Neurospora crassa OR74A: one gene and its partners. The protein of the gene in region 7 interacts with the protein of the main gene of each other region in a pairwise test. Links are inferred from orthologs where the notes say so. Each region holds a gene or a part of one and is shown on either strand. Other genes may lie near its edges.

The links.
Region 1: the proteins of NCU01301 (region 7) and NCU01524 interact in binary tests that used the Saccharomyces cerevisiae proteins (3 or more experiments, as listed by UniProt). The link is inferred for Neurospora crassa OR74A from reciprocal best matches to the Saccharomyces cerevisiae genes LOC1 and BRX1.
Region 2: the proteins of NCU01301 (region 7) and NCU09528 interact in binary tests that used the Saccharomyces cerevisiae proteins (3 or more experiments, as listed by UniProt). The link is inferred for Neurospora crassa OR74A from reciprocal best matches to the Saccharomyces cerevisiae genes LOC1 and NOP16.
Region 3: the proteins of NCU01301 (region 7) and NCU01257 interact in binary tests that used the Saccharomyces cerevisiae proteins (3 or more experiments, as listed by UniProt). The link is inferred for Neurospora crassa OR74A from reciprocal best matches to the Saccharomyces cerevisiae genes LOC1 and EBP2.
Region 4: the proteins of NCU01301 (region 7) and NCU11175 interact in binary tests that used the Saccharomyces cerevisiae proteins (3 or more experiments, as listed by UniProt). The link is inferred for Neurospora crassa OR74A from reciprocal best matches to the Saccharomyces cerevisiae genes LOC1 and DRS1.
Region 5: the proteins of NCU01301 (region 7) and NCU05289 interact in binary tests that used the Saccharomyces cerevisiae proteins (3 or more experiments, as listed by UniProt). The link is inferred for Neurospora crassa OR74A from reciprocal best matches to the Saccharomyces cerevisiae genes LOC1 and NOG1.
Region 6: the proteins of NCU01301 (region 7) and NCU06090 interact in binary tests that used the Saccharomyces cerevisiae proteins (3 or more experiments, as listed by UniProt). The link is inferred for Neurospora crassa OR74A from reciprocal best matches to the Saccharomyces cerevisiae genes LOC1 and RRP14.

What each region holds. Positions count from the first base shown.
Region 1 is NC_026502.1:3,192,924-3,196,673, forward strand, and holds NCU01524 (ribosome biogenesis protein BRX1), read right to left. Parts: upstream 2,321-3,750; 5' UTR 2,170-2,320; coding exon 2,024-2,169; intron 1,946-2,023; coding exon 1,728-1,945; intron 1,659-1,727; coding exon 1,045-1,658; 3' UTR 501-1,044; downstream 1-500. Other genes in the region: NCU01523 (GTP-binding protein ypt3), read right to left, coding at 3,342-3,481, 3,554-3,634, 3,716-3,750. UniProt on the Saccharomyces cerevisiae protein: Required for biogenesis of the 60S ribosomal subunit.
Region 2 is NC_026505.1:4,474,525-4,477,973, reverse strand, and holds NCU09528 (nucleolar protein 16), read left to right. Parts: upstream 1-1,254; 5' UTR 1,255-1,423; coding exon 1,424-1,539; intron 1,540-1,620; coding exon 1,621-2,203; 3' UTR 2,204-2,949; downstream 2,950-3,449. Other genes in the region: NCU09527 (hypothetical protein), read right to left, coding at 3,298-3,449. UniProt on the Saccharomyces cerevisiae protein: Involved in the biogenesis of the 60S ribosomal subunit.
Region 3 is NC_026505.1:3,393,320-3,397,036, forward strand, and holds NCU01257 (hypothetical protein), read right to left. Parts: upstream 2,279-3,717; 5' UTR 2,223-2,278; coding exon 1,268-2,222; intron 1,141-1,267; coding exon 785-1,140; 3' UTR 501-784; downstream 1-500. UniProt on the Saccharomyces cerevisiae protein: Required for the processing of the 27S pre-rRNA. Probably involved in the step of the processing of the 27 SA precursor into the 27 SB intermediate.
Region 4 is NC_026503.1:3,110,186-3,114,172, reverse strand, and holds the start of NCU11175 (ATP-dependent RNA helicase drs-1), read right to left. Parts: upstream 2,801-3,987; 5' UTR 2,630-2,800; coding exon 902-2,629; intron 845-901; coding exon 83-844; 3' UTR 1-82. Other genes in the region: NCU00234 (hypothetical protein), read right to left, coding at 3,287-3,987. UniProt on the Saccharomyces cerevisiae protein: ATP-binding RNA helicase involved in ribosome assembly.
Region 5 is NC_026504.1:5,445,564-5,449,654, reverse strand, and holds the start of NCU05289 (nucleolar GTP-binding protein 1), read right to left. Parts: upstream 2,801-4,091; 5' UTR 2,609-2,800; coding exon 2,577-2,608; intron 2,521-2,576; coding exon 2,491-2,520; intron 2,390-2,490; coding exon 2,361-2,389; intron 2,296-2,360; coding exon 2,278-2,295; intron 2,208-2,277; coding exon 2,064-2,207; intron 1,962-2,063; coding exon 901-1,961; intron 830-900; coding exon 185-829; intron 92-184; coding exon 50-91; 3' UTR 1-49. Other genes in the region: NCU05290 (orotate phosphoribosyltransferase), read left to right, coding at 3,230-3,931. UniProt on the Saccharomyces cerevisiae protein: Involved in the biogenesis of the 60S ribosomal subunit.
Region 6 is NC_026507.1:1,847,947-1,851,896, reverse strand, and holds NCU06090 (hypothetical protein), read left to right. Parts: upstream 1-1,150; 5' UTR 1,151-1,388; coding exon 1,389-1,409; intron 1,410-1,531; coding exon 1,532-1,615; intron 1,616-1,725; coding exon 1,726-3,216; 3' UTR 3,217-3,669; downstream 3,670-3,950. Other genes in the region: NCU06089 (exonuclease), read left to right, coding at 1-505. UniProt on the Saccharomyces cerevisiae protein: Involved in ribosome biogenesis and cell polarity. Required for the synthesis of both 40S and 60S ribosomal subunits and may also play some direct role in correct positioning of the mitotic spindle during mitosis.
Region 7 is NC_026505.1:3,571,684-3,574,781, reverse strand, and holds NCU01301 (60S ribosomal subunit assembly/export protein loc-1), read right to left. Parts: upstream 1,716-3,098; 5' UTR 1,587-1,715; coding exon 1,278-1,586; intron 1,169-1,277; coding exon 848-1,168; 3' UTR 501-847; downstream 1-500. Other genes in the region: NCU01302 (hydrolase), read left to right, coding at 17-145, 200-343; NCU01300 (imidazoleglycerol-phosphate dehydratase), read left to right, coding at 2,155-2,431, 2,515-2,927. UniProt on the Saccharomyces cerevisiae protein: Required for efficient assembly and nuclear export of the 60S ribosomal subunit. Involved in asymmetric localization of ASH1 mRNA.

The DNA of each region.
Region 1 (3,750 bases), on a different chromosome or scaffold from region 7:
ACAGGTCCCCTGTAGCGAACTTTCACAATGAGTGAAGTGAACCCTCTACAACCTATCCTCAACTCTCTCCTCCGATATCGATGAGTGAACCTGAGTCATGACCAAAGTACTCCGAGTCGTTTTTTTTGCTTCTAAATTTTGATCAAAAGCGTTAGCCATACGTGTTCAACATTAGACTCAAGCCATTTGTCTTTCGCTTTAAGGAGCGACGTCCTAGGTATCGGCTCCAGTCCTTATCTCTTGTTTTCAAGAAGCACCAAACTCGCGCCAACTCCCAGGCACACTACATGACTTAGACGACCCAAAGCCCCTGAGAAGATGGCTAGTCCGTCAGAAAATCTGAAATTTGGGACGATGTCGCCCAAAGCTACCTTGGGACAAAACATGGTACTTTTTCTTCTTCTTCTCCTTGAGGAGTGTACTGAAGGTGGTGATATCATCCCAACAACTCAACGAAAGAGACACCTCGTGTCTCTTATATATATGGAAACAACCCAAATCATGGAGCAAAAATGTGAGACAATATCTCACAGCGCAACTGCATTTAAGGTAGAGTCTAGGTCCTATGCGAACAACATCTCCCTCAGGAGTGTGGTTATAGACAGTCAACCGCTAGTGAGGTGCCGAGCAAAGTACTTGCTCTCCTACCCTTCTTTGACCATCTCCTTTCAACACGACCAAGACCGGAGCCAGGACGGCGTTCATCACTCAATCTTGATCTGATGTGTCCGTTTTCGAGCCAGCACCTTATACGCTGAGTGCTCATCTACCACTCGATCATGATCCTCTTTCCCAACTGTCAAAAGAGGACAGCTCGTCCGTCTCACACATCCCCACGAATACTGTAATGTTGTACAATGCAAATCGATTTCCTTTCTTTTTCCCGAACCAGACCAAACCAGCCAGCCAGCAAAAGTACAAAAAACTCCTTGATTACCCCTAAACCTAAGGCGTGCGTTGCTTTGATGTGTCGCAAGCGAACAGACGTGATGAAATCGTGTTGTGAAAAGCTCTCTCTCTCTCTTTCCCCTCCTCCTCCTTTCTCTAAGCAAAGAGCTCCCGGGTATCCAAGACATCCTTCTCCTTCTTCGCCTGGGCCGTGAGGGTCTCGAGCTTGCCGAGCCTCTCCTTGACCTGCTCCACCCTGGTGTTGTGCCTGGTCGCCTTGGCCTTGCGCAGCTCCGAGCGCACCTGGTTGGGGGAGATAAAGCGCTTGTTCTCGTAAATAATGGGGCCGCCGAACGCGCCCTCCTGTATGATGATGGGCGTTAGGACGAACCGAGGTCCGATCTCAACCAGACTGACGTCTGTGTCCTTGAGCTCCGCGTTGGGCGCGCCCTTTCTCTTTTTCGATGATGACTTGTCGCTCTCGGGGACAATGTCGTTTCCTTCGCTGTCCTTCTCGCCCTTGGCCTTCTCCACTTCTCGGATCTCGTAGTTGCGTACCCAGATCTTGCCGTCGGCAATGCTGAAGCTCATGACGTGGTCGATAAACGGTTTTGACTTGCGCGCGCCCTGGGGGACGCCAAACATTTGCAGAAACACCTCCTTGATGACGCGGTAGTGCGGCTCTTGCTCGAAGGCGAGGTCGAAGGAGAGGAGTGGCCTCGAGCCCTTGAGGCAGTTACCCGTGAAGTGAAGCTCTTCCATGGTGTGCACTGTGCTTTTTGTTAGAACCCGATTTTTCCTCTTTCACAATGCGTATCTCGGATATGGATAGTGCTCACAGTTTTGGGCGTGGAACTTGACCGTAGGGCCGTTAGGAACCTTGCTAAACCACATGTACAGATCCTTGCCCTTGCGCGCCTCGAAGAACATGACGTTGTTGCAGTTGTAGAGCTCGGCAAGCTCGTTCAGTTGGTACAGCTTGGACTTGGAATCGAACTTGACGTCTTTGCGGCCGTGGGGGAGCATCGCTGCGAGATCGTTGAGGAGATGTCTGTGTCTGTACTCGGGGCGCAAAGGCGGTTAGCAATTGACCCTTTCTTCTTCCATCTTGCAGGTATGCAGGGTCTATATGTACCTGTAGGTAACGCCTCTGGACGAGAGAATCAGAACTCTCTGCTTGTTCTTCCGAAAGCCGCCATTGGTGGTGGTGGTGTTGTTGTCGTTCTCCGTGTCCTCGACCTTCTTGGCGCTCTTCGAGAGCGACTTGTAAACGGCGGCCATTTTCTTTTTGTTCTTGTCGTTCTTTGGGTATCAAAATCGGGCGAAAAACAAGGGTGACTGAAGTTGGTGGTGGTTGTGGTGGAAGTGATGGCAGAAAAACGGAATGCGGATTGCAAAGGTGAATTCAATGCTCCAATCCACGAACGTCGCGGGCGAAGCGCAGTGATGGAGTGCAGGCTGTTCCATCTCAAAAAAAGTTCGCCGGCCAATCGCAGCCCCACTCCGATAAGCTTCTCTTATCTTACTAGCGTCCCTGTTCCGGCCCCCCTGCTTGGAACAGCTGAAAGGCGGTCGGCGGTCTGGGCAACCCGCATTTGTCCCACTGATGGACCCAACCTGGAATCCGGACCCCCAAGTTCTGGGGATTCCATTGCCTACACACACTGTCCAAGTTCCACGCGTTCTTCTTGTCTGCCCTACAGTGGGGGATGGGACGGGACTGGCCTCTTGTCCGCACTCAAACCCACTTCAACCGCCTCGGGTGACGCGATGGGAGTAATGAGGGACAGTCGCCATAATCCATCAGGCAAGCCCAGATGTCTTAATTTGTATTGACTGTTTCCCGCTGTCGCACATAATCAACTTGAATGTCATAACGAGATCCTGCACGATTATCGCTACATAGGTACTCACTCTCGAGGTACTCCTCTTCTCCCACATTGTGGATGCAATAGATGGAGACCTTGACAACGTGGAGCAATATGTACCAGGTTGAGTTAAGGGCTGTTTATCGCCCATAGTTCATTTCAACTAAATAATATCTTTCGTAATCCATGCGCAAGTGATGGCTTCGTTAACCACATTGAGGAAAATTCCAACGACCAGCACGGGGGGAAAAGGGAAGAAAGGGGTAGTAGTAGTAATAACAACAAAAAGGAAAGGCTGGAAGACGAGCATCATGATCCTTTCCCCCCTCCCCAAAAGCCCAAAAAAATAGAGAGAAAAAGAAAAACAGACCATCCCATCGGCGACCGTGATGTAATAAGACTGGGCAGGATCCGTCCGTACTTTTCCCCCGATGCTGCTCTTCATTGCTCATCATAAGCCTCCATTGCTTCATGTCAGACATATGTGACGCCGTTGTTGGTTCGGCACCCTGTTGTACTCTGCTGCACCCTGCACCTCAACCCTTCAGGGCCACTCGGTTCCCGGCCCGGAGAATCAAGCACCTCCTAACAGCAGCCAGACTTCGCCTGGGGGTCGTTCGCGGTCTGACTGAGCGAGATGCTCTGGCCAGACAGGTTTTGGTGGCCCTCGTTGGACCCGCTGGGGCCGTTGTCGAAGTTCTTGGTCGACACGATCTTGTAGATTTCTAGATAAATGATCGCATGTTAGCGGTAGGCTCGCGCCAGAGCAGCAGCTGTAGGCTTTGGGCAAACGTTACCAGTCAAAATGTTTTGGAACGCAAGCTCGACGTTTGTGGCGTCGAGAGCCGAAGTCTCGATAAAGGATAGGTGGTTTTCCTCTGCAGTTCTCTCTGTCAGTCATCCTGGCGATACGGCTTTCCCAAGCGACCATGTCATCATGGCTGTGACGCGCAACGTACCGGCAAACTTCTTGGCGTCCTCCGTGGGTACGGCT
Region 2 (3,449 bases), about 900 kb from region 7:
TCGTGTGTCCAAGTAGTACGTACATAAGTACTGAGAGGTATACCTCCTCGCCGCTACCACTCCCCACATCCCGCTCGACATGTATCCAACTACCCCCTCATTTCGACTAAACCTCATGGCTAACGAAGTCTACGCCTAGACTTAACAGGAAGGTGACTATCCCAAGCATGGCCCCCCTCATCAAGTTCTGAATATCTCCATGTTGCATTGAGGTTGGATGGGGTTGAAGAAGGAGGGGGAGGTGGGTAAGATGTTGAGTTCTGCTGCGAACTATGGGCTGGGCGTTTGAAGAGAGAGGAGTTGGGGAAGAAAAAGCAAGACCTCGGTCGCTGTCTAGGTACTTGTATAGGCAAACGTCTAGAACACCATGAAAGACAATTGGCTGGCCACTACAGTACACCTATGTATGTCGAACGGCTTCCCATTCTGCGCAGTGTTCTTCCGGGCTCTGATGGGCATTGGCCGGCATGTAGCAGGGTGATGATGACCGAGGCACTTGAAATGAACATGTCAACAGTTAGGTCGCATACTACCGAATGTCTTTGGAAGTACAAGGCTGACATTTGAAGGCGGGTTGGATTTGAATAAAAAAGAAATGAAATTTCAGGCATGACCCGCGTGCCTGCGTCGAATGGATAGTGGCGGGGGCCATGGAGGGTGTTTTGGGGATGGGATGAGACGGGAATCAAGTTGCCCTACCGGAAAACTTGCAAAGTGCGTAGCTAGTTATTTAGCAATGATTACAAGTCTGTTCATATCTCCAATGGGTAATGATCATGGTGACAATGGTGAGGTGGTGACTGGCGCGGCCGCTGGCGCCTCACCAGTTGCGAGCAGAACAAGAAGCCGCGGCTATGATGGCCGTGAAAGTTAGGGTCCAATTCCGAGGAAATAGTCGTTAGGTAAGTTGCCATCATCACCCTTGGGAGAAGGATTGTTGATGAACGAACTGGTGACGGCAATAAAGGCAAGCAAGATACAAGAGGATTAGAAACGGAACCTGAGGAAGCGGTATTTATGTACGTGCTTACATACAATACACCACTTACACTACCTAGGTACACACTTACGCAGTAGGGACTGTATCTTTATTACGGCCCTCTTGCCAGCTGGCGACTGGACTGAGGGAACGTACCCAAGCTTGCCAAGTAACGAACAACCTGTAAGGTCGATAAGGGACAACAGCCCCACTATAATTCTCTTATCGGACAGGAGCCATTGCAGTTCCAGTTCAATCGAGTTCTCTGGGGTGGTTTCCCCCGAAATTTTGGTCAACTTCCGCCTTCGTTGTTGTTGTCGCCGTCATCGTTCTTTGCTGGTTTACTCCCATTTCGCCTTCTTCTTCCCAGCATCTTTTGGCAGTCGAACTCCTGTCCTTTCAGCAACACCACATAGTACCTACTTCCCGAAAACCACAGCAACAATGGGCAGAGAACTTCAGAAGCGCAAGAAGCGCTCGTCTCGCGCCAAGGTCCAGACGCATACCATCAAGAAGAAGGTCTTGAACCCCCAGGGCAGCGGCATCGTTGCCAAGGCCTGGTAAGTACCTTTCTCTTCTTTTTGTTGCCAGATATTCGAGAGGAGATTCAGTACTGACATGCAAAAATTGATGTACTACAGGAACAAGAAGGAGACCCTCTCACAAAACTACTCCCGCTTCGGTCTCGTCGCCAAGCTCGGCACCGCCGCCGGCGGCATGGCCAAGAAGTCCGCCGCCGCCAACTACGCCGGCATCACCAAGGATGATCCTTTGGCCGTCAAGTCGGCCGATCGCGGCCTGTTCGAGGTCCGCGAGGTCAAGGTCGAGCGTGACGCCTCGGGCAAGATCGTCAAGGTCCTGCGCTCGGACAACCCGCTCAACGACCCGCTCAACGAGATCGAGTCCGACTCCGAATCCGAGGAACCCAAGCCCAAGAACCCAACCCATGATATCGAATGGCACGGCATCAGCGACGACCGCCAGGAGATGATTGCCCAGAGCAGCCGGCCCGAGGTGGTCCGGATGCTCGAGGAGGAGGCGTCGCGCCCTGTGGAGAAGACGGTGCGCTACCAGAGCGAGCGCGAGCTAGAATGGCTGCAGCGACTAGTGGCTAAGCACGGCGACGATGTAGCTGCCATGGTGCGCGACATCAAGTTAAACCCGATGCAGCAGACCAAGGGCGACATTACCAAGCGGTTGAGGAAGGCTGGCTTGTTGCAGTAAAGAAGCGGACGAAGAAACGAGGGAGGGGAAGAAGGGGGCAAATTGCATGCGCGAGTGTGATGTGAACTTCATCATCACTGGAATGTGACTGCTTCTTGCAAGGGGATGTTCTTGGGATCACCGGTGAGCTCGGTTTGTGGTCTGAAGATAAGGGTAGAGATGAGGGAGCCTGGCGACAAATGCCCGGACCCATGTCCAGTCTCGTCCTGTAAGCTGGGCTACGAGAGTCGGCGGGAGGGAGAAAGAGCGACCCAACACGGCTGATCCTTCAGCCGAGATGGCTCTGCTCGACAGGTCTCGAAAGAAGAGAGCAACGGATTTTGTCTTTCTCTCTTTGTCTCTCTTTCTCTCTCAGACTGGTATAATGCCAGTTAGACTCTCCCCGCTGTCGCCTCATCATACTTCGCTTCAGGGGGCGACCCTCTCGTGGAATGGGGAACTGGCAAAGAAACAGGTGACGGAGCTACTTCGGCTCGCGCTCCCTTGCTCAACGGTAATGAGCAAAAGCAAAACGGATGATGGGACGGGAACCAGGATTTCTTGTGCAGCATACATACTATTCATTAAGGCCACGGGCGTTTTAGGCGTTTCTCAAAGTACATGAAAAGAATTAGGGCCATTGAGCCATCCACATATATCGTATCATATCTTGTTTGTCACCTAGAATCATGTTCTACGTAGATCTCCACAAATATGGGAGAGTTTAATAAGAATGACACAGATACAAAGCATTCCATGAAGCCGATATGAGAGCTTTGTGATTCATTGTTGATGCACGAAGATATCTCTCTCGTTTCTATGCATGATAAACCAACAAGGACCTGTGACGCCTCGCCAACGACACCCCATAAAACAAAGCCTACACACATACATACACAAGAAAAAGCCCAAAATGTTTCGTCTAGTGCCAGCCAGCCCCCAATAACAAAAAAAAAGAAAGCAGGTAGCCAAGACACTTTGTACATGACCTAAGCATGCTGCAGCGTATAGCTACCCGGTATTGCATCCGCTTCCAGATCCAAAGTCGATCAGTCCAGCTCATCCATATCCCTTGACTTGAATTCTCGACCCTTCTGTTTTTTTTAATCCCATTCTTACACATTCCCCCGTTCGATTCCTACTCGGCCGTAGGGCGCAGTGGGAAACCTTGCCGATGGCTCATCCTCGTAGTCCCCATCATGCACACTAGGCGGCGCGTACCTGCTGCCGCCGCCGACGGAGGATTGATAATCGTTATCGTTGTCAA
Region 3 (3,717 bases), about 180 kb from region 7:
TTTTCGTCCTAATCCCACACAGCGGTGGGGTTGAATTGGATGAGCCGCTCTTTGTGTTGTTGTTTCTTTCTTCTATTTGCTTGTAGCTTCAGGAAAGGCGGGTCTATGTCTGGCGTTGGTGGTTATGGGTCTTCCCAGGTCTATTTGGGTCTGAATCTGGGTTTGGGTTTAGGCTCGTCTCGATGAATAGCAGCAAGCAGGCGTTACGATGGTGTTGCGCATCAAACCCCTTACCATGCGGGTTCGAGGAGTGAAAGGGGGATGTCTCGTGTATTAGTGTATCTGAAGTACCTAGTCTTAAAGTAGCGATGGCCCTTGCGCGGCTCGTCCGTGACAGGATGATACTCTCACAAACTGTAGTGACCGAGATTTGTTTTTGTTCACGAGCCGACATCGGGGGCCTTTGAATGAAGGTGAAAGTAAGGAACCCGTTTGTTCGGGTGAACGGATATAGCCATTCTGCAAGATGAATGATATGAGAAAAGGACCTTTGAGCCAAGCGGGTAACACCATCAAACTGTAAGGCATGAAAAGAACTCTTTAGGTATCTAAGTAAAGGTAGTGGCTACTGAATTGATCTGAATCCTTCAATGATGTTTGTTGTATGACCGGTCCCATGATGATGTATACTCATACACGCTACTACCACCTTTGTCACCAACCTGCCGTGCTGACCTTTTGTTGTACTAGGTTGGAAACTAAACAGATTACCCATCATGGCATCGACACCGCTCTTCACTTCCACTGCTTCTTCTCGCTCCTGCCACAGTGAAGCTTACTCACTTCACCTCTTTCCAGCCCCCGCCTTTCTCCTAGCCTTACCAGGCCTAGGCGCAGGCTTGAACTTCTTGGGCTTGCCGCCTGCTGGGCCGCCCGATTTCATCTTCCTCGCACTGAACCCGCTCACGTCGCCCGACGAGAGGGCGTCGTTGGATTTGGCGTACTTCTTCTTGCCGCCGAAGCCAAACTTGGCATCCTTCCGTTGCCTCTTGGCGTTGGGCCCGCCGCCCTCCTTGCCGTCGCGGCCGCGCTTTTTGCTGTTGTTGCCGCCAGGGCCGCCCTTGAGCTCGTTGTCGACGGCAACGTCAAAGAGGTCTTCGGCTTCGTTGGCGCCGGTGGGGCCACCGCCGTCCTTGCGCTCTATTTAAGGAGGCGGAGGTTAGTTGGCTTCAGTTATCATCAAGTTGGGGAGGGGAAGGAAGAGGAAGAGAACTTGTTATGGAATTAAGAAGGGAAGGGGAAGGAGAAGGGTAGGAGAGGCACGTACTCTTCTTGAGAAGATTGATCTTTTCGAGTGTGTCACGCTTCTGCTTGGCACGCTCCTGTTGCTTGGCCACCTGCACCTGCTTGCCGAACTTCTTGAGGTCGCGCTGCTTGCGCGCCTCGGCCGAGGCCTTCTTGGCCGTGGCCTCCTCGATAAGCTTGGCCTTGACCTTCTCCATAGTCTCGTCGCTGCGCAGCGTCTCGGCAAAGTAGTCGGTAGGGCGGGTGAAGGGGACACCCTCCTTGCGGAGGAGGGCGCGGCCGACGCGGGCGGCCTCGAGCGCCTGGTTCATGAAGGCCAGCTCGCGGGCCAGGTCGTCGTCGATCGAGGGGATGGACTCCTCCGTCACCTTCTTGGCAACGATGGACTGGTGGAAGGCGAATGGGACTTTGTCGGTTGTGTCGAGGGCGAAGCGCTTGAGCGCCGTCAGGAGACCTTGCTTGTTGTTTATTGTCTGGCGCGCCCTCGAAATGGCCTTGACTTCCTCTCCTTCTTCTCCGTCGACGTCGAGCTCATCAATGTCGATCTCATCCTCGTCCTCCTCCTCGTCGCTCGATTCCTCGGCGGCCTTCTGGTACTTGTTTGCCTGGATGCCGGCGGCGGATTGCTTCTCGTTCAGGTCGCGCTCGAATTCTGAGTCGGAATCGGATTCGTCAAGTGCATCAAGATCGAGATCGTTGTCCTCTTCGTCGTCACTACCCTCCTCAGAATCTGAACCGGCCTCTTCCTGTTGCTCTGGTTTCTCGTCGGCCTTGGTCTGAGTGGTGGTTTCTTCCGCCTTCTGCTCCTCCTCGACATCCATCTTGTCCTCTACAGGGGTTTCTTCGACGACCTGCTTGGGCTTTCTGCCACGCTTCTTCTGCTCCTTCTGGGGCTTCTCTTCAACAATCTTCTCGATCTTCTCAGCCTCAAGAGCCTTGGTGGCCGGCTTTTTTGTGCGGGTGGACTGTCGCGGCATTGTGATTATGTGGGGTTGCTGTACAATCGATTTGGATGATGAGCTCGAGAAGCGGCAGCGCTTGCAGTTCTGGAAACTTTTTTTTGACATGGCGGCTGCCATTACCCGATAAGATAAGCCTGGTGGGTCGGAGGCGGACCCAAATGTGGATGCTTGGCGCCCGGCATAGAGGTATCCACAGCCCAGCTCCTGGAAGTGCCCTTCACACTCTCTCTGAATCTGGCACATCAAACCCCAACCCTCAGGTTACGAGTTACAATGGGCCTGTAGTCACGGTGATGGTCACCCACCGAACTGCGTTTTCTCGGTGATCTCAAGATTGATTGCTAGTGTATATCACCATGCCCTGTGTATCTCTGCCCAGTTTCTCGTAAGCTACCCGCAGCCTGTGTCAAGGTGATTCAACACGAGTCTCCTGATACATCAAACTTCGCGTTCAGTGGAGGAGCCTTGTCCCGCGCAAACATCACGAACCTAACCTGGCCGAAACAGATCAGAAATATGTCTGGGACGTCGAGCTGATACATGTAATGGGATGTAGTATATTTTCTCGGAGCCGAGGCCATTCCTCCGCGTATCTTGCCTTGATGATCGATCAAGCGTTCCATTTGCAAGTTGACAGCTTTATCACTAAAGTCAGTTGCTCTGAAAAGTCTTACGAAGAGGCATACGATGATAATGAAATTCACAATCATAGAGGTAGTCACGGTCATGAGAGCATCCAAAGATATGGTGTCAACCGGGGTTTTTTTTTTATTAAAAGAACTAACACTCTTCAAATCCTTCAACCAAGCCAACTCACCCCCACAATCCCTCCCCTCCGCAAACCAAGATCAGAAAGATACAGTGAAAACTCCCCACATGGTCCTCCCCCTCCACAAATTTCATCCCGCGAGTCCCCCCTCCCTGCCAAGACAGAAAGGAAGACTTCCCTCCTCTACAGTCCTATCCAAGAAAATTCCAAGAAAGTGCGCAAAGAAAAAGGAGTGGTGAACCAAGCGCCATACCCAAGCCCGTGCAAGTCCCACCCAACAAAAGAGAGAAGCATGTCGCGAAATAGCTCCCTCCCAGCAGATGGAAGAGGTTGAGGTTGGAAGGTGTGAGTCCGCCGACTCCCAGGTGACGTTTGCCGAAGAGTGTGAACCAAAGAGAAGTTGCTGCATCGTTTCCCGCCGGCGATGTCCTCAGTCCGCAAAGGGTGTTTGGTGTCGAATCAACGACAAAAGAGAGAAAGGGTCCAGAAAGATAAGGTGAGTTGCCTGAGTGTCGAAAATTGAAGAGGGAAAGCTCCGTGTGGACGAAAAGTAGTCCCGTGTGAAGTTATCCCCAACAAAAAGAAGCGAAAGTCGTTTATGTGAAAGGATGGTGTGTGTGATGTGTGCGGATGTATATCCCCGGTTGACAAAGGTTTTTTCCATTCCCATCAAGGAAAGATCCTCACCGCTCCGGATGTTGTCAGTGGGTGCTCCCATTGTGCAGAGTCCACCATGAAGCA
Region 4 (3,987 bases), on a different chromosome or scaffold from region 7:
TATCAAAAGCACACTAGACTTAGCTTGAAGCTCAATTACATTTAGAAACTCAACAACAACAACAGAATCGTGCTCCTCACATTTACTTTCTCCTGCCCTTGCCCTTACCACCCTTACCAGCATTGCCGCCCTTCTTCTTAGGCCCAGCAGACCGTCCCACCTTCTTGACGACCTTCTTGAGGTTCAGCACCGCGCCCTTACCGGCTCTCTCGGCGCTGCCCTTCTTGTATGTCCTCTCCTGCTTGCGCTCTTGCATGGTGTCGAGCTTCTTCCTGTCCTTGTTGCTCAACTTGCCCTCGTTCTTGGACTTGAGCTTGTCCCTGACGCCGTTGAGCTCGGCCCGGCCCGCCGCCTTGGCCTTCTTCTTGTCCTCCTGCGTCTCGAACCACGTGCGCTTGGGCCTCGAGCTGATCTCGTCCTCGTACTTGATCATGTTCTCGCCCTTCTTGACCTGCATCTCCATGTTCTGCAGCTGCTTTTCCTCCTTCTCTTCCTGCATAATCTCCTCAATCTCATCTTCCAACTCGTCGATCTCGGCCTGCCACTTGTCGGCGTCCGCGGGATCGATGATGCGACTGCTGATCTTGGCGCCCTGAGACTTGCCGGCCTTGACGGCAGCCTTGACGACCTTGCGATCGGGCTCAGCAGCCAGGGTAATAGCGGTACCGCTGCGGCCCGCACGCGCTGTACGACCGACACGATGGACGTAGATCTCGGGGGTCTGGGGAGCCTCGTAGTTGATGACGGTGTCGACACCCTTGATATCAAGACCACGTGAGGCGAGATCGGTGGCAAGGAGGAAGTTGACCTTTCCATCTCTGAAGTCCTCGACACTTTGAATACGCTATGGATCCTGTTAGTATCACTCATCCATCTGGAGCATCGTAAATCGTAAACATACCTGAGCCTGGTTCATGCTACCGTGCAACTCGGCGCACGACAATCCAAACAGACCAAAGATGATCCTCATCTTGTGCGCAATCTTCTTTTGTCTGAAGAAGATAATGACACGCTCCGTGTAGATAGTCTTGCAGATGTGCAACAGATATCCTTCCCTCTTCGATTCGCGACCGGGTCTGAGACGGACAAACTCTTGAACAAGCGTACCGGCAGTCTTCTTCTGCGAATCGGCCATGATGCGCACAGGCTTGTTGAGACCGGCGCGAATGAGCCTGTCGACAGACGACGTCATGGTGGCAGAGAACAGCATGGTCTGGCGGGACTTGGGAAGGGTGGTAAGAATCTCGTTCAACTCGTCCGCGAAACCGTCCTCGAGCATGCGATCGGCTTCATCGAGGACGAGAATCTCGATGGTGTCGACGGCGAAGCTGGCAGAGTTGCGCATGTGATCGATGAAACGACCAGGAGTGGCAATGACCACATCCGGGCGAAGACGGAGCTCGGCCTCTTGCACCTTCAGACTGAGACCACCGACAGCCAGACAGAACTTGATGTCGGTATGGCTGGCGAGCTTGACAGCGACAGCGTGACACTGGATAGCCAACTCACGGGTGGGCGTAAGAATAACGACGCGGGTGGTGGGAACCTTCTTGGGACGGTAGAGGAGACGCTCAAGGATGGGAACGACGAAGGCGGCCGTCTTACCGGAACCGGTGACGGCACCACCGACGACATCCTTACCCATAAGCGAAATGGGGATGGTCTTGGCCTGAATGGGCGTCGGCTTGGTGAAGCCCACGGAAGTAAGACCGCGAAGGATAGGACGGGAGAGAGACATCTCCTGGAACGAAGACATCTCGCCCTTCTTCTTAGGCTGATTCTCCTCCTCCGGCGCAAAGAACTCCTTCATCTTGGCCTCCTCCTCCTCATCAATACCCTCTTCATCATCCGATGACTGCACATCATCAGGATGCTCAACGGCCGTAGCAACCGAGTCATCATCCGACGCATCGCCCTCGTCTTCATCCTCTCCCTTCTTCTCCCCATCTTCACCCTCACTATCCTCATCCTCCCCATCAACACCCCCCATCTTCGCATCCTGCTTCTCCTCCTCCTCTTCCACGTCCGACCCAACACCCATACCAAAAGCATCGTCAGCCAAGACACCATCCTCATCATCATCCAAATCCACATCAATCTCTTCTATGTCGTCTTCTTCCTCATCAACCTCCATCTTATCCTCCTCCTCTTTTGTCGCCGTGGTTTTCCCCTCCTTAGCAGCCTTCCTCTCTCTCCTCCTTCTGATAATCTCATCGATATCCACAGCCTTCTTGTCCCCGCCCGCGTTGGCGCCCTTCACAACACCCTTGTGCGCGCCCTCGAAACCCCAGCCGTCGAACTCGGCGTCCACTTCGTTCTGGCCGTCGACAACGAACTGGAACTCGGTATCCATGGCGCCGTCGTCTTCGTCGTTGTCGCCCCAGATGCCGAGGTCGGCGGCGTCGTCTTCTTTTGTTTCGGCTTCGTCGTCGTCATCTTCAGTCTGTTGCTGTTTCTTGGACTTCTTGTTGTTCTTCTTCTTTTGCTTGTTCGATTGTTGTGTGGCCGTCTTGGCCTTCTTCCTGGGTACAACTTCTTGCTCCTCTTCTAGTGGGATGTCTTCTTCATTGTCGGAAATGGTGAGGATGAAATCGTCGTCGATCGCTTTGCGCTTTTGGGAGGGCGCCATTGTGGTGGATGGTGTTGCAACGGTCTGTGACCGTTGTTTGTTCTGTAGTGTTGTGTTGGAAAAGAGAACGACGGGAAGCTCCCGATGCTGAGTGGGAATTGGTGGAATCGTCAAGATTGTACAACTGATAGCAGTCAGTGGGGTCTTTTTTCGTCTCTTCCTCCGCCGCAGAACGAAAGGGAAAACAAAAATTTGGGAACCATGCCCGTCTGTAACTTTTTCTGCCGGGCGGTCAATGTGATTGGAGGATCTGGGGATCTTATCAGTGGCAGCTGGTCGACAGCTGCGGGGATGGGTACGTACCATCTCAACTATCAAGTGAGTACCTGCCGTCTTCGGGAGCAACTCGTTCAACACCACATTGTCCCAAGAAATTGAATACGCGTTCATGTTATAGAGCCAGAGGACCTTGTCCTTACTACAGTAGGACTATATTTATACTTGTGCGGGGCATATGGTCCAGCTATTCTCAACGCAGATGTATCAGCCCGTATTATATGATGATACTACACAGGAGTCATCTACCCCGTCGATACCCAAAATGAACGCCAGACACCTTGCCAATGGTATAATGCTAATCCTCAAACCTTCGCCTCCAAAACATCAGTTGCCCACAACGTAACTTTCTTCACATGGACCGCCACATTATCACTCGTGCTACCGTGTGGAGAAGCTCGCCGACGCTCCAAGGAAGTCCTGGTCATGCCCCTGGTCCTGCTGGTAAGTCTCCTTCTGCTTCTGCTTCTTCTTCATTTCAGCGCGGATTCGTTCTTTCTGCGCCTTCAAATGCGCCATTTCAACATCATCCAGCAAGAATTTCTGCTCATCGATATCCCTTCCACGTCCGGACGCGGATGCTTGCGGGTAGAGAGGGTCTCGTTGATATCCGTCACCTGGCAATTCGTGCTCAACAATATCCCACGTAGCATGATAGTAGCCATCTTTGGTTGGTGGCAGCTCAGCATGCGCCCTTGGCTCCTCCAGCTTACGGATCGCGCCGCTTTCCATTGCAGCGTACTCCTCTGTCGATGCGTATGGTGGTAAAGGACCGTTATTACTGGCGCTCGGGAGATCAATGTCCTCCCATGGATGTCTCCTTTCCATCAGAGATGCGGGTTCGCCTTGTAATTCAACTCCTCTAGGTGGTCTTTCAATCATAGACTCGTCGGGAGGCACTGTAGGCGAAGTCACAGCTGGAGTGGGCGTTACTCGGTTGGGTCCATATGAGACGATTAATGGGGGCTGTGGCCGTTGGGTTTGTGAGGTTGTTGGGTTTGGTCGTGGGAGCGTAGTAGGAACTGAAGGAAGAGGAAGATGTGGTGTTGAAGTTGGAGCTTCGGTTGGAGGAGGGGTGGTGT
Region 5 (4,091 bases), on a different chromosome or scaffold from region 7:
ACACACCCAACCCAACCCAACCCAAACATATATGGATCATCGATCCAAATTAACGACGCTGTGTCTTGCCGACGGTACGCTTGCCGGAGAACTATAGAAAACATGTGTGGTTAGTTTAGGAATGAAAAGAGAAAAGAGAAAAGGGGGATTGAAGGAAGGGGAAAAGAAAAGAAAAAAGACGTACCAAATGCTTGGGCATGGTAGCACCAATATGCCTGTCGGCCTCGCCGGCTCTGGCCATCCTGTTCATCTTGCGCTGGCCGAGCTTGGCCACCCTCTCGGCCTTGGAGCGGGCTGTCTCCCCGTCCATGCCCACACCACCAGTAACACCGTCGTCGCGCCTGTTTGTCGCGCCCTGGCCACGCTGGGCCGGACGGCTCTGAGAGCGAAGACGCTCGGCGGCGCTCTTGGGCGTGTCCACCTCCATGGCGTCGGGGTCCTCGGTGGCGTTGCGGCTGCGGGCCAGCGAGCGGCCGCGAGTGGGCTCGCGCACCTGGGCACGGCCGCGCAGGTTGATCTCCTCGGTGTCGACGCCGAGCTGGTCGATGTGGTCCTCGAGCTGGGCGAACGACTTCTTCTGCATTTTCCGGGGGATTATGGCGCGGTTCTTGAGCGACTTCTTCATCTTGGCCTCGTTGCGGATCAGCTTGTGCTTCTCGCGGATGTACTCGGCCTTTTGCAGGATCTCCTCCTCCGACTCGTCGCCGAGGTCCGAGTCCGACTTGTAGAAGCCCTCCTTCTCGAGACGCTCCTCTTCCTCTTCGAGAGCGGCCAGCTTGGCCTCGATATCGGGGTCGATGAAGTCGTAGACGTTCTTGCCGTCGACAATCTGTTCGTCAAAGCGTGACATGTTAGTAACCGGGTTTAATTTGGGGGAGACGGAATGCGAGAGATACTGACCTCGGGAATCTTGTCGTACTTCCACTCGGGGTTGGCCAAGATCCAGTTCTCCCTGAGATCGACGTTGAAGACACCAGCACCACCGTTCTGCTCCTCGATATCCCTGGCGAGAAGTTTCCTCTCGGGGTCGGCCTTGTCGTACTTCTTGAGACCCTTGACGGCCTCGGGAATGAAGGTCTCGCGGAGAACACCATCGGCGGGCTGGGCGACGTGAATACGGGACATGACCTCGGTGAGACGGGAGCCCATGGTGCCGTTGCTGCTGGTACCGGCCTTGTACTTCTGGTTGACACGCTCAACGAGGAGAGCCTCGCAAACGGTGTTCTTGACTTCCTGGACACCGTCCTGAGTAGCGCAAGAGGCGCGCAAAAGCTGAATGTTGCCGGACTTGGTAAGGTCCATGAGATCGGCCTGGGATTCGGGGTCGAGGTCCTCAACGGTCTTGATATCCATCTTGTTCAGGACAACGTAGACCATCTTGTTCTCGAAAAGGGGCTTGATGGACCTAAACAAGTTGCACTGGGCCTTGAGCGAGTAACCGCACTGCTCCGAGATATCGATGAAGAACATGACGGCGGCTCTGAGATGGGCAAGGGCAGTAACTGACTGCATTTCGATGGTGTTCATCTCTTCGAGAGGGTGGTCGAGAATACCAGGGGTATCGATGACCTGGTAACGGAGGTACTTGTAGTCGAGGTGGCCGACGAACAAGCTCTTGGTGGTGAAAGCATAGGGCTCGACAGGGGTATCAGCGCGGGTGACGGAGCGCACGAACGAAGACTTGCCGACGTTGGGGAAGCCGGCAACGAGGAGGGTACGGGTGGTAGGGTTGATATCGGGCAATCTGGCCAAATGCTGGCGGACCTGGTCGAGGTAGGCGAGAGGGTCTTTCAGACGCTTGATGAGGGTGGCCATACGACCGAGGGCGGCTCTCTTCAACTGCTTGCACTGGTACAAACTTTGCGAGTACTTGAGGAGACGGACGTAATCACGAGAGATGGTCTCGATCAAGTGCTTGGCGGTCGAGACCTGACCAAGGGCAACCTTGAAGTGGTCGGCATCTATCCATCACCTTGTCAGCCACTATTCCCAACAAGACCAGGCGCGGTTCACAACCCGCTGTTGCTGAAACCGCCTGTCGCAGGGAAGCGCGGGATTCGTACCGTAGAGAATGTTCATCAAATCGCGGTGGAAAGGATGCTGGTCGGCGAGGATGGGGAAGCTCGAGACGATGGCGCCGAACTTTTCGCTGCATGTTTCCTGTGTGAACTTGACCTTACGGGTGTAGAAGGCTCTAATTCTGCTGACTGTTCGGTGTCGCGTGTCAATGATCTATTCGAATTCTCATACAAAGTATCGGATATCGAGACGACATACTCTTGAAACCAGCACGAACTATTCAAAGTAAAGGTTAGCGATCATGCCATGCTTCACGTAATTTTCCACATTGTACAACATACTCTGAGTCGGCAAGCGACGCTGTGTCCTCCTGTTGAACAGTTAATATCCTTCACCACCGTGGCCAAGCCATTGGACTCGAACTCGAAGACTTCGCATCGTCGTGGTTGGGGGCTGCCGATGTCGACTTACGAGAGGATGATGTCGATGAATTCCTGTGCCCTGTAGAAGCGAGTTAGCGATGCCAAACAACAACACAACAACCAAGATGTCCTTACGTAGGCACAGGGGCAATGTCCTTCCACGTCATTTCGGGTATAGATGTCAAGCACTTGCTGGTGAGAAGATCTCGGACTGGAAGTGCAGGACAATGAGGTCGGACGGACGGTCTGAAGGATAGAGACCGGCTGCGGGGGGAGGGGGCGGTGTTGGAGGGCGACGGGGAGGCGCTGCGCTGCCAAATGGAAAGTCTACTTCGAAATATTTTTCCAGCGGCTGCTCCAATCGATAAGATAACAGCAGAGTGCCAAAGTGGATTGAACCTAGAGGTAGTGTGCGCTGCCAAGACATGCTGCCAAGGGGTGCTTAAGGATTCGGCTAGTGTGGAATTTAGGATTTTCTAACCCCACATTTTTTCAGGGACCCCACCGCGCCCAAGTGGCCGATGACCGGGCTTTCGCGGGCCTGGCTCCTGGAACTAGGTGGCCCACTCGTAACCCACCATCTGATTGACTCGGTTGAAAGACTGCCGCGTGTGACGCCGCCAGGAACTGAACCCTTCCTTCGGCCCCTCCCTCCATTTTCTCAATTTTCCCCAGGTTCCTCCAGCTATTCAGTTGCCAGGCAGACAGACGTCAACGCTGTTCTTCTGAAATCTCTTCTTCTTCTTTCAGCTTCAATTCCAATCCTACAAACACTACGTACCAGCACAATGGCCGCTCTCTCGCCTTACAAGGCTGACTTCCTCAAGGCCTCCATCGACGGCGGCGTCCTCAAGTTCGGCAGCTTCGAGCTCAAGTCCAAGCGCATTTCCCCCTACTTCTTCAACGCCGGCGACTTCTACCGTGCCGACCTTCTCCAGGCCATCTCCACTGCCTACGCCAAGTGCATTATCGAGGCTCACAAGAGCGGCCAATTGGACTTTGACATTGTTTTCGGCCCCGCCTACAAGGGCATTCCCCTCGCTACTGCTGCCACCGACAAGCTTGCCCAGCTTGACCCCGAGACCTACGGCAAGATCTGCTACTCTTTCGACCGCAAGGAGGCCAAGGACCATGGCGAGGGAGGCAACATTGTTGGCGCCCCTCTGAAGGGCAAGAGGATCCTCATCGTTGACGATGTCATCACTGCTGGCACTGCTAAGCGTGAGGCTATCGCCAAGATCGAGAAGGAGGGCGGCATTGTCGCTGGCATCGTCGTTGCTCTTGATCGCATGGAGAAGCTCCCTGCCGCTGATGGTGACGATAGCAAGCCCGGCCCCAGTGCTATGGGCGAGCTCCGCAAGGAGTACGGCATTCCCATCTTTGCCATCCTTACTCTGGACGACATCATTGAGGGCATGAGGGGTCTTGCCTCCCCTGAGGACGTCGAGAAGACGGAGGAATACCGCGCCAAGTACAAGGCTACCGACTAAACGCTGGAGTTGGATTCTCTGATAAACTAGTAACATGTATATCACAGGTTTGTTCGCCCAGTACCCTCTGACCATAGCCACAACATCAAACCTGTGGCTGACACTCTACAAGAAGAAGAAGATGAAGAAAGAAAAGAAGAAGAAGAAGGATAGGGATTGT
Region 6 (3,950 bases), on a different chromosome or scaffold from region 7:
AGTGGAAGTTCCTGGCTCATCATCGCAAGAGGCCATCACCAAGAAAAGTGTGAAATCCCAGACGCCGCTGGGCCCTCGGCTCCGGCAATTCTCGTATCAACCAGGTAAACCCGGTGCTCGCCTTGTCAATGGTCTGCCTACACCTTCCTCAACCCAAGAGAGATCTGCTGCGGTGCGTAGATCATCGTTGAATCCAAGCTCGCCCATGTTGACTCCGTTGCAACGCATGGGAGCCCGGGCATTGAAGCAAGTTACACCCCGCGCCACGCCTCCTAGCAGCCTCCGCGCACGTAAATCAAGCAAGCCGAGCGAGGCTCTCGGCTCCGTCCAGGTGGATCCCGCCGCCATTCCGTTGCCGTTGGCCGACTTTGCTGAAGTTAGAGCCCTGAACATGTCGCTTCAGGGGAGCGAGGATCAGATTATTCCTGAGAGTGATGGAGAAACCGAATTGGGCACGGCAGCCACTCGTCCGCGACTTAACTTGGCGCAGTACCTGTATTCGTGAGCCCCCAACTCGTGCTCTCTGGAGTGTATTAGGAGAAGCCAGATATGTGGTGTGCATAGCTCTCGGCGTATCGGTAAGGAAGAAACCCCGCCTGGAAAATGGGTGGGCTTGAATTGTACTATGGTCTGTTGTAAGGAAACGAGGAAAGATCATGGGTCAGGAGTATTATCAGGCAAAGAAGGCAATCATGGAAAGAGCAGGCTGAAGTAAATGAGGAGAACTTCTATTGCCTGTTATGCGATAACATTGCCCTGATGGGCCATTCATTGATGGCCTTTGTCCAGAAGGTAGCTATATCACTTTAGTAGGAAATAAACAAACAATGGTAACCATGATGAAGGAACACTGTTGCACCTGTCAAGACACTGTCAGGAGACATGTCACCATCAGATCCAAACATAAATCCTATAGGTATACTATACACGAGGTAGACGGGAGCGTGCTAGAATAGGCAAGTATCCCTCTAACCGCGATAAGATCGATGAGTAGGTGCCAGGGCAGTTCACCGCCTTTGGCAGAATGCCAGAACCCCAAGCGTGAAAGTGTGGGGCAAGGTGCTGGGGGGCTCCACACTGCTGGGAACAATCCACTAAAATTTCACTGTAATCCACTGGCGAACAAAAATTCATCGAGACGGGAAACAGTCGCTCGACCACAGCCGACCCGCCCTCCACTGTCTCAATTTTTCCATCTGGGTTTCGTTTCGATACCTCGACATACTACCTCGACCATTATTCCGCCCGCTCGACATCACTCACAACCCCATCACAGCGAAATCCCGGATTCGACTTTCTTTGTCGCCTCAATCACCTAGGTCTCTCTATTTTAGCGACTGGCAATCAACCAGGTCGACTCGTACAAGCGAAAACCAGCGTGTGCAAAGATGGCGGATACCGATTTGCAGGTAAGCAGACCGGCGCTGGAATGCACACCACCGATACGGTGATACCCATGGGCTGGTAGTTGTGGCCAAACTGGGATGGCTAGAGTTCGACGCTGACCATGCCGTCTTGCGATTGCGAACAGGAGCGCCTGCGTTCTCACGCTCAGGCCTTTGACGGTCTACTGTCGCTGATCCCAGCCAAGATGTACTACGGCGAGGACAATAGTGTACGTTACCCCCACCCGTTGACTTAGCTCTTCATCATAAACTCAACCATTGATGTTGGTGTCAAAATGCCTTCGATCGCGTCGCTGATCCCAAGTAACCCCGCCAACAGGATCAGTGGAAGAAGAAGAAGCAAACCAAGGAGCAGGCAAAAGCTGCTAAGCGGGGGAAGCTCGATCCCGACAGTGAACTCAACCGCAACGCCAAGGAGGTCATGGAGGAGCGCGCCCGCAACAAGCGCAAGCTCCAGGAAATGGAGGAGAGCAGCACTGAAGACAGCGACATCGACGTCGAAATCCCTGGTGTTGAGAAGGAGAAGCCTCTTGAAGGACTGAAGAAGAGGGTCGTCAAAGACGACGCCGAGACAGAAGAGTCTGCGCCTAAAAAGCAGAAGCTTTCCGAGGAGGAGGAGGAGGTGGTGGAGGAGGAGGCCGTCCCCGCTGAGAAGCCCTTGAGCAAGAAGGAGCAAGAAAAGGAGGCCAAGCGTCTCGCAAAGCTGGCCAAGCAGGAGAAGAAGAAGGCCAAGCTCGAGGCGAAACTAGGCAAGGGTGGAAAGACGGAAAAGAAGGACGACACCGCCGAAGAAGCCAAGCCTTCTACCGAAGCTAACGAGGACGACGAGAACGACGATATGGCTCCCATTGATGTGTCTGGTCTCGTAACAAAGGAGGATGAGGGCGAGTCCCAGGAATCCGCTCAATCTTCTGTTTTCGACAGTCGCGACAAGGCCGGTTCCGCCGAGCCTGCCAGCGCCAACACCTCGATCTCTTCCGCCGTTCCCCCATCGGATAAGCCCAAGTTCAAGCTTCCCGCCGATACCACGGTTCTCCGCGAGCGTCTCGCCGCCAAGATTGAGCAACTCCGTGCCGCTCGCAAGGTTGAGAAGGACGACGAGGGTAAGCCCATTCGCACTAGGCAGGAACTCATCGAGATGCGCCGCGAGAAGGAGGCCAAGCGCAAGGCCCACAAGCGCGAGCAGAGACAGAAGCAGAAGGAGGAGGAGGATCGGAAGCGGTCAGAGGCTATTGCCAGCTCGCGCAACTCTCCCCTAAGCATGCTCAGCCCCAAGGACGATGTTGAAACCAACTTTGCTTTCGGACGTCTCGCCTTCTCTGATGGTGTTCAGCTTTCTCGTGACGCCGCCTTTGTCAAGTCCGACGGAACCAAGAAGAAGGGCCCCACGGACGCCAAGTCCAAGCTTGCCAAGCTTGAGGCGCAGAAGAAGCGCCTCGAGGCCTTGCCTGAAGATAAGCGCAAGGAAGTCCTTGAGAAGGAGACGTGGCTCGCTGCTCGCAAGCGTGCCGAGGGCGAGAAGGTTCACGACGACGAGCACCTGCTCAAGAAGGCTGTCAAGCGCAAGGAGAAGGCAAAGAGCAAGAGCGCCAATGAGTGGAGAGAGCGCAAGGAGGGCGTCGCCAAGGCCCAGTACGATAGGTCAAAGAAGCGCGAGGAGAACATCAAGAAGAAGCAGGACGAGAAGAAGGCCCGCAAGATGGGCATCAAGGTCAAGAGCGGCAAGGGCGGTAAGGGTGGAGGAAAAGGTGCTTCCAAGGGTAAGAGCAGGCCTGGATTCGAGGGCGGATTCGGTGGTAAGAAGAAATAAGCGTCGGATAAGGTGTTCAGCAAGGGGTGTTTTGTCTTTTTGGAGAGAGATGTTGATACCACTGCTGCTGCATAGCGGCAGATGCTCGGGAGGCTGGCATATCCTTTTCCCATTCTTCTGCCTTGTCGCTACGTACATATTTCTTGCTGGAAGGGGGTAACAGGTGGTGTTTTTGGCGTTTGTTTTTTTTCCTCATGGTTTTTCGTTTCTTTTTTCTTTGCACGGTCGGAATGGAAAAAGAGATTATATCACACGTACATATCACAACTGGACCAGATCACGACAAGCGGTTAACATGGTACGAGGCTGGGCAAGCCTTGTCTTTTGTTCTTTTATACTTAGCTAGCTTTTAGTAGTGGTGGCGAAGGGAGGAGGTAGGGGCTGGAGGTCCCCCTTCTTCTTCAGCGAGGCAGCATCTTCAGGGAGTTAAAAAGTGATTATCAGCTCACCGAGTCTTTTCTCTTTTTTTGTCCGGTGACTTGAATTGGTGATGTGAGACGCATAGCTTCCCTTTCTTGCTTGTCTGATACCGAGGCGCTCTCCGGTGTAGGCGTTAAATTCCAGCTGTGAAATGAGGTGCTGTTAGTGCTGGGTGGTCGGACTCTACTTTATTCGCAATCAAAGCACTAACACGGCGCCTGGAAGCCGACATAATTCTAGGTGATGCTACACGATTTTATCATGATCGGAGCAACCCGTGTTCCGTTCCACAAGGGAAGCTTGGAAGGGGTTAA
Region 7 (3,098 bases):
GCTGACAAATTACTAGATCGCTGTTGAGGAGGCCATTCCCTACCAAGAGATCAAGCAGAACCCCTACACGGTACTTTGCCTCACGTCTCTCGGCGGACATCTTTCATGGTTCGAACTTGGTGGCGGACGATGGCATACTCGTCCTGTAAGTTTCTTTTTGCCTCACTTTCCGGTAACTTTTTGCTGATTTGTTGTCTAGATCTGCAACTTCCTGAACAAGATGGCTTTCGATATTGACTTGGACGCCATCAAGCCGGATGCTTGTGACAAGTTCGATAGCCAGTTCAGAACTCACTTCGACCCTGTGCAGCGAAAGTTGCAGATTCTCGATGTGGATCAATAGATGGTGGTGGAATGAACACTTGAAAAGAACGAAGACTGTACATAGATTAGCTATAGAGATGGGTCCATCGATTGGGCCTAAAGGGTCTAGACGCGCTTCAAGGCACATTGGGGCTGCACATAGACTTAGATTCGCGCTTTCGACTTGGATACAGGTTCGAACGTACGTTCATTGATGGCTTATGCGAGCCACGAACTACACCATCCTGACGGTTTCACCTAATAACATCTACCGACTCATGAGAAAAAGAGGCTGGACCAAGGCTGGCGTGCCCAATTGGTATCTTTAATTTCCACACACAAAATCAGTCAGAACTGTTCCCCCAGCCAAGCCATCCTACCCGCCGCCAGACTTTGATTGATATAAACGCCCAGACGCCATACATGCGAAGAAAAAATGCTTGGTGTAGGTATTACACGACAAACTTCCACCCTTCCTGTCTTCATTCTCCCAGCCCATTCCCAGGAGGGACCTTCAAAGCTCCCAGCATCCTTGCTTGATTATTTATTCGGGAGCAGCGAAGGATACCGACTTCTTCTTTTTCGACTTAACGGCTTTCGTGCCCGCAGACGAGAACTCCTTGACATCTCTGGAGTCATCGTCGTCGTCGCCCTTGCTACCGCCCGATTGCTTGCTGCGCTTACGCTTCTTGCGCAGCGAGTCCTTAGTCTCTTCGAGTCTGGCCTTGCGCTCAGCCTCCTTCTTCTCGGCTTCAGCGCGTCTCGCCTCGCGGATCTCCTCCATTTGTCGCGCCTTGATCATCTTGGACTCGATCTGGCCCTCCTTTTCTGCTTGTACGATGGCTAGGATAGTGGCCATGCTCTCCTGTACAAAGGGGGAAAACATGTCAGTTACTTGATGCTTTCCGGTCTTGAAACCTAGCAAGAAAACAAAAAACCAATATGACCCCAGACGCTAACGAAAGACAGCTTACCTTGTCATCCACAAACACCTTGCCCTTCTTCTTTCCCTTTGGCTTGGTCACACCAACGGGGGTGATCATGTTGAGTTCCGGAATCGCAAGCTCCTTTTCGCTGTAGGTCTTCTTCTTCTTCTTCCTGGCGATAAGCTCCTGGATGTTCGGTCGGCCCTTGCTGGCAGTCACGAGAGTGTGAGCTTTGCCCTTCGGCTTTCCCTTGGACTTGAGCACTCCATCGTTCCTCGACCTCTCCGCATCTTTGCTGCCCTTGATGCCGGATTTGTTCGCAGCGTGCTTGTTCTTTATCGTTTTTGTCGGCGCCATTGTGAGTTGTGGTTGATTCGTTGATAAGGTCGTAAGAAATCAACGATAGATGAAATGGTGGTTCGGGATATGGATGGGTGGATGGAGTACGAATACTCTCGAATGTATCCTGTACGCTGTCGCTTCAGTTCGGTCGACTTCTGGGGAAAATTTTGGGACCGGAATTGGTCCCTGCCTTATCTTATCGCGGTTAATCCAAGGTACCTCTAGAGCTTGTGCATATAGCACTGTATCAACGCCTGCTGAGCGCGGTTACGGGGCAGTGGGGTCTGTCAGCTCGCCGTGGGGCTGCCTTGAAATCTCTAATTGGCAGCTGGGGATCGGCAGGCGAGCAGGAAACTCTAGTTTCCTTCTAGTGTAAGCGCGGGGTTGGCAGCACTAGTGGAGGTACCTATTCCATATCGATTGCCTATCGGTGCGTTCCCTCACTGGTGGCACTCCGAAATCGCCAAAATTTCCAAGATCACCTTTATTGTCGCCATCCTTACATCGCAATTGATCACACTGCCGTGGTGATATCCCAAGAGTCTACAGTCCCCAGAAGTCTCAGACGCCCTATTCAGACAAAATGAGCACCGAACAGCCCGCGCCCCGCTGGGCCGCCTTTGCACGCGACACCAACGAGACCAAGATCCAGATCGCACTCAACCTTGATGGCGGCGCATTCCCTCCCGAGACCGACGCCCGCTTGAACGTCAGTATCGCCGACGGCCATGCCACTCAGGCTAGCAAATCGCAAACTATCAGCGTCAATACCGGCATTGGTTTCCTTGACCACATGCTCCATGCGCTTGCCAAGCATGCCGGCTGGAGTCTTGCGCTTGCTTGCAAGGGCGACCTTCACAGTTAGTAGACACACTTGGCTTGGGCGCAGAAGTCCTCGTGGAACAACATCCAGAACTCTGAATTGACTTTGTCCCTCTCATAGTCGACGACCACCATACCGCCGAAGACGTCTGCATCGCTCTTGGTTACGCCTTTGCCAAGGCTCTCGGCACACCCACCGGCCTCGCGCGCTTCGGATCCGCATACTGCCCTCTCGACGAGGCCCTCAGCCGTGCCGTCGTCGATCTGTCGAACCGTCCCTTTGCCGTTGTCGACCTCGGTCTTAAGCGCGAGAAGATTGGCGATCTCAGCACCGAGATGATCCCCCACTGTATCCATAGCTTTGCCGGGGCTGCCCGCATTACCGTGCACGTCGACTGCCTCCGCGGCGACAACGACCACCACAGAGCTGAGAGCGCATTCAAGGCGCTTGCGGTTGCCACGAGGCAGGCTACTAGCCGGGTGGCGGGTCGCGAGGGTGAAGTTCCTAGCACCAAGGGAACGCTCAGCGTATAAGGAAGTGGGAAGGGAGTTAGTTATAGGTTTGGATATAGAAGTGCAATGATACCATGTGATGTCGTTTACCGTGGTACTTTGCGCGCATGTTCGGCTGCCATCATTTCGCTATAGCGACGGCGTAGAGTTGAAGTGAAGAATGGAAAACCAGATACATGTTGCGAATTGGCG